Caenorhabditis elegans: one gene and its partner. The protein of the gene in region 1 interacts with the protein of each later gene in a pairwise test. Each region holds a gene or a part of one and is shown in the gene's direction. Other genes may lie near its edges.

Region 1 (3,322 bases):
ATTCAAAAAAGTACATGAAAATAAGTAGTGGAATGAATTGAGAACATTGAATACTACTTTTGAAAGAATAATTATAAAATAAGAATGAAAAATGAGATAATTAACATCGACCAAATCTGCGTTCAAATGGATGTTGTCTCTTGAATCCATGATGTCCGAATCCATGACCAAATCCATGATGATGACCACCGAATCCATGGAATGCTCCAAATGGATGATGATGTCTATGGAAATTGAATCCATGATGATCCATTCCTCGTCTTCCAAATGGTCTTCCGAATCCTCCAGTTGGACCTTCAAATTCTTCTCTTCCACAAGGTGTTCCAAATGATCCTAATGGATGTCTTTTGAATTCTTCTCCTTCACGACATGGTCTTCTTCCAATTGGTGATGCTGATCTTGCACGTCTTCCACCAAAACAGTGACGTCTTTTGAATTCTGGATGTCCATGGGATTCTTGGAATCTTTTCCACATGAGCTTCTTCATTTGATGTCTCTTGTGATGATCATGGAAATTTGAACGACTTCTGCTTCGAGATCTTGAACGATCAAATCCACGACTTCTGGATCTATCACGTCTTCCACAATGACGACGATGTGGAGCTACTTCAGGAGCATCAGCAATAATGACATCTTCATCTCCAGAATCAGAAGAATCAGATGAAGAATCCGATGAATCAGAATCAGCAATCACAAAAATAGAAGCAGAATCTCTGTTAGCCATCTTTTTCAGAACTCTCTGAGCATTCTGAGACATTGAAATCAAATTTCCTTTGTCATTTTTCCAGAAAACAACATTGAAATTGAGTCCGAGTTCTCCCAATTTCAACTCTAATTTTTCAATTAGTTGTTGCAAATTGTAATATTCAATTGAAATTTGTTCAGTTGCTCCAGGAGCAAAATAAAGTTTGAAAAGAATTGAATTGGTTGCAGTTGTAGTTTTCATTTTTCAGAATGATTTTCTCTATTCTAAATTTCCAATTTTTATACCTCCATTCTTAAGCTCCGCCTACCAGCTGTCCCTGAACTATTTCGAAATTGTTTAATGTGTCTGTGTCTATCGAAATAATACGAAAATGTACTGTCATCACTGTCTGCGTCTCGAATTGGCGCTGATCTTTTGATATTCATTGATGAATGAGACTAGAGACATGGATGTATTGCACAAACCACAGAAAGAGCACAAAGTCTTTGAATTTCAGATGATCTGAAATACATCGACATCAATAGAGATTTACTTCTTAGGTGACATAATGTTTGGTGATTTCATTAGAAATATTGAACATTCATCTAACAAATTGGGATCTGCAAACCCAATTTTTCAGAAAACGTGTTCATTTCAAAAAGCGATCGAAAAATAGTTTTTTCCGTAACCCGGACTGAGTGCCTGCCTATGTTTTCAATCTGATTAGGGTCTGAAATCTGGAGAGCGAAATTTTTACAGAAAAAAACTATTTTTCGATCACTTTTTGAAATGAACACGTTTTCTGAAACATTGAGTTTGCAGATCCCAATTCGTTAGATGAATGTTCAATATTTCTAATGAAATCACCAAGCATAATGTCACCTAAGAAGTAAATCTCTATTGATGTCGATGTATTTCAGATCATCTGAAATTCAAAGACTTTGTGCTCTTTCTGTGGTTTGTGCAATACATCCATGTCTCTAGTCTCATTCATCAATGAATATCAAAAGATCAGCGCCAATTCGAGACGCAGACAGTGATGACAGTACATTTTCGTATTATTTCGATAGACACAGACACATTAAACAATTTCGAAATAGTTCAGGGACAGCTGGTAGGCGGAGCTTAAGAATGGAGGTATAAAAATTGGAAATTTAGAATAGAGAAAATCATTCTGAAAAATGAAAACTACAACTGCAACCAATTCAATTCTTTTCAAACTTTATTTTGCTCCTGGAGCAACTGAACAAATTTCAATTGAATATTACAATTTGCAACAACTAATTGAAAAATTAGAGTTGAAATTGGGAGAACTCGGACTCAATTTCAATGTTGTTTTCTGGAAAAATGACAAAGGAAATTTGATTTCAATGTCTCAGAATGCTCAGAGAGTTCTGAAAAAGATGGCTAACAGAGATTCTGCTTCTATTTTTGTGATTGCTGATTCTGATTCATCGGATTCTTCATCTGATTCTTCTGATTCTGGAGATGAAGATGTCATTATTGCTGATGCTCCTGAAGTAGCTCCACATCGTCGTCATTGTGGAAGACGTGATAGATCCAGAAGTCGTGGATTTGATCGTTCAAGATCTCGAAGCAGAAGTCGTTCAAATTTCCATGATCATCACAAGAGACATCAAATGAAGAAGCTCATGTGGAAAAGATTCCAAGAATCCCATGGACATCCAGAATTCAAAAGACGTCACTGTTTTGGTGGAAGACGTGCAAGATCAGCATCACCAATTGGAAGAAGACCATGTCGTGAAGGAGAAGAATTCAAAAGACATCCATTAGGATCATTTGGAACACCTTGTGGAAGAGAAGAATTTGAAGGTCCAACTGGAGGATTCGGAAGACCATTTGGAAGACGAGGAATGGATCATCATGGATTCAATTTCCATAGACATCATCATCCATTTGGAGCATTCCATGGATTCGGTGGTCATCATCATGGATTTGGTCATGGATTCGGACATCATGGATTCAAGAGACAACATCCATTTGAACGCAGATTTGGTCGATGTTAATTATCTCATTTTTCATTCTTATTTTATAATTATTCTTTCAAAAGTAGTATTCAATGTTCTCAATTCATTCCACTACTTATTTTCATGTACTTTTTTGAATAATTTTAAAAACTGTTTTTTATAATAAACGTTAAAAAATAAACTTATTTTTCATATAAATAGAATATGTGACTACATTATATATACATTGGAAGCTCTCCATAATGCGATAAGCATCTTTCATGATAGACACTTTTCAAAATATTAAAGTAACCTTCTGCAGATTCTCTTCCCACAACATTGCCAGGATTTCATGTCAATTTTTAAGCTCCAGTCATTTTTGAAGTCAATCTCCATCAAAATTTGTTTTCATTTACGTACGAATAATACTCAAACTATTTAGTGGAAATTAAATGTTTGCATTTCGTTTCAAAAATTAATTGTTCTCCAGCTATTTAGATCACTATTTCACGTCATGTTGCCATTTAATTTTGTGTGTTTTCTGTATTAAATAATTAAAAATTTTATCATAAAAGCATCTAAATTTCTAAATAAACTTTGATGAACCTTATTAACAAGTTTAATGAATAACTAAACAGGAACCTACATAAAATCGGGATGGGATGTTTGG
Region 2 (3,199 bases), on another chromosome or scaffold:
CGTGACCCATAGGTCATAATTGTAAGCATTTCCCTCCCCCCCCCCCACTCAAAATCGAAAACAAAATAAGAATCATACCTCAACTCTCATCCCGAACCGGATAGACGATTGAACACCATGGCTGCTTTCCTGCCAATTGCCTTGAGCATTGCTATGCTCACCGTGCTCACCAATGCCAATCCAATTCACCCGGTCCCAAATGCGGCCTTCCTTCCCTATCGTTCCTGTGGATCCCATCTTGTTCATCGCGCTTTTGAAGCTTGCAGTGGGAAGAAAGGTATGTTATTATATCATTCTTAGCAGGTTAAAACCGAATCATCGCTTTTCAGATCGCAGCAGTGATGTGGATCTTTGGAAGATGTGCTGCAAGGACGAGTGTACCGATCTGGACATCAAGGAGTCTCTGTGCAAGTACGCTTCGCAAGGATATGGAGTAAAGTTTGAGGAGGAAGCCGAAGAAATCGATATGGTCAGCTTTGCGGCGGAGGGTTTTAAAAAGAGCTGTGGACATGATATTGTTGTGAAGACAGTCAATGTACCGACGAAAATATCATTGAAGCAATGTGCCCGAACAAGGGGGTGGCGCCGGCGGCGGCCTAGAAGAATCCCGGACAAGTTCAATCGAGTGCAAAACTATGCCTGTATTAATTGTGTAAAAATAAAGTAATGTATGTATAATATATGTGGATTTGAATTACTAGCGCAAAATTTTAACTGATTTCACAACTATTGCAAGTGCGCTCCATTGAAACGCCACTTATCAACACACCGTCGTCCACTTAACAGACCGTTGGTATATATACTCTGTTGATAGAAGGTTTTTTATCAGGCATAGGTCCGGAGTCGGTGGGTTATCTGAAGAAACCACCCCATCGGCAACAACTTGACTTCCTGTTTTGCATTGTTGGAATTTGGTGGGCAAGTTGATTAGAAAGAAACGTTTAATTTTAGTTAGGCATTTTTCAATTAAATTCGAAAAATAATAAAAATTACAGAAACAAAATAAGATTTCGTATATATAGGCTTGAAATGCAGATTTTTTAAAATAGATTTTTTCAAATCATTAGTCAATTTTTTACCCAAAAAATTACACCTTACATAAAGTTGTTTGACACAGTCTCCTAATTATCGAATTGCGGTGGAGCGCATTTTGTACACTACTAGAGACCCAGAGAAACCCACCACCATTCCTCGAGAAACGTCCACCGCTTGCATTGCCTCTAGTATATATACTTCCTCCTCCCCAACAGTTTTCGAATTCCTGCGGTCCGGATCGTATGGGTTATCAATTCTCAACCACCCCATACGAACTAACTTGACTACCGGAATTTTGCAATTTTTGATAAAAATTACTTGTTTTTGTAGTATGCAAATTAAATATAAAATTTATTATTATTTGTATTTTTTTAAAAATAAATTCGTGTGTCAATAATGAGTTTCTATTTTTGAAACTTTAAAGCACGACAAAGATGGGTCCTGCTGCGCAAAATACAATTTTAGGACGTTTTTTATATAAATTTATAGCATAAATTTTACTATAGAGATATAAGAGCTATGAATTCAAAAATGTTCTCCTTCTAGAGTTATGTAATTGCCCCAGTTTTGCCGGAAATTTCAATTCCGGCAATTTTACGATTTACCGGAAATTTCAATTCCGTCAATTTGCCGGTATGCCACAACTCCAATTCCGGCAATTTGATGATTTGTCGGAAATTTTAAATTTTGTCACTTTGCCGGTATGCCGAAAATGTCCAATTCCGGTAACTTTCAAGTTTGCCGGAAAATTTCAATTCCGCAATTTGCCGATTTGCCGGAAATTTTCAATTCCGGCAATTTTCCGATTTGCCGGAAAAAAAATTTGCAAAAAAATTTGCAAATTCCTTACTTTTTGACCTCTGAAAATTGCGGGAAACATAGACTTCTATGTACTTCCAGAAATGTTCTGTGTGACCCCAATTTTCGGAGATCAAACGGCAAGGAGTTCTCCTCAAATTTGGCAATACTACACACATATCGTCATCAATATTTGCCCACCTTATCAAAGTCATGACTAATTTCGAAACTCTTCGAAATAATTCGAAACTATTCGTCAACAAAACCCACCTATAAAACCAGCACCTCTCACCTTGAAGAGCATCTCATTTACAATGAGAAAGCTCAGCACTCGTCCACTTCCTCTTGGAGACGGATTCTTCGACTCGTCATCTGATAGTTCAGAATCTGAACTTTCAGATAAGGACGATGAAGATAGATATTCCGACTCCACGGTTTCCACGTTAACTTCTCAAGATCGTAGAGACACCCAAGGGTGTCAATATCCACGTTCTTCGGAACTTCCGATCTCTGAATCTCCAGCTCCACGAGCTCGACGAGCTCGTAAACAGAGATCGAAGAGAAAGTCGGTGAAACCTCCGAACACTTCGTCTGACGACTCTTCTGATGACTCTGATGATTCTTCCTCGTCCTCTTCTTCCGATGACTCGGTGAGTTCTAAATCATCAACCAATTCCAGTGACTCCTCGCCATGCCGTTGTCGAGATGGGCTTGCCGAGTGGGAGCAGCGTCATGGGAGACGATGGCATCCGTATGGAAGAAATGGAACGTGGGAACCATACCGCAATCGTCGTCGCGGGATCTATGATTGTGAGAACTCGCCGAGAGAAACTTATTCGAATGGAGCTTGAATTTTTAAATGTAAATATTTGTTTTTAGTTTAATTGTATTCTATTTCATTTTTGGTATCCTATATCTTGGTTTAAATAAGTGATATCGAAAAGTGTTCAACTACAAAATTATTGAAAAAGGCATCAGCAATATTTTGTTTGTTGGTAGTTTTTCGATAAATCTTAAAACAACCGGGATATGACCATTTAAGTGTGTTGTCTATTTATTGTTGTGTAAAAATAAATAATTTGTATTTTTCGAATTTGTGTTTTGTTCTTTATTATTAAATTAAAAAACCAAATAATAAGAAAGAGGTCATATAAAACTGTTGCCGGAATTAAAATTTCCGGCAAATCGGAAAATTGCGGGAATTGAAACTTCCGACAAATTGGAAAATTGCCTGAATTGAAATTTCTGGCAAATCGGCAAAATTGCCGGAGGATTGAAATTTCCGACTAATCAGAAAATTGCCGGAATTGAAATTTCCGGAAAATCGGTGAACCGGCAAAATTGAAAATTTCTGACAAATCGCCAA

Evidence for each region. The genes of interacting proteins can lie anywhere in the genome.
Region 2: the proteins of numr-1 (region 1) and F08G2.5 interact in a two-hybrid assay, tested with the Caenorhabditis elegans proteins (one large-scale study listed by BioGRID).

The regions. Positions count from the first base shown.
Region 1 is NC_003281.10:7,362,009-7,365,330, reverse strand, and holds numr-1 (PB1 domain-containing protein), read left to right. Parts: upstream 1-1,866; coding exon 1,867-2,712; downstream 2,713-3,322. Other genes in the region: numr-2 (PB1 domain-containing protein), read right to left, coding at 101-946.
Region 2 is NC_003280.10:13,832,580-13,835,778, reverse strand, and holds F08G2.5 (WW domain-containing protein), read left to right. Parts: upstream 1-2,147; coding exon 2,148-2,684; downstream 2,685-3,199. Other genes in the region: ins-37 (INSulin related), read left to right, coding at 118-277, 330-667.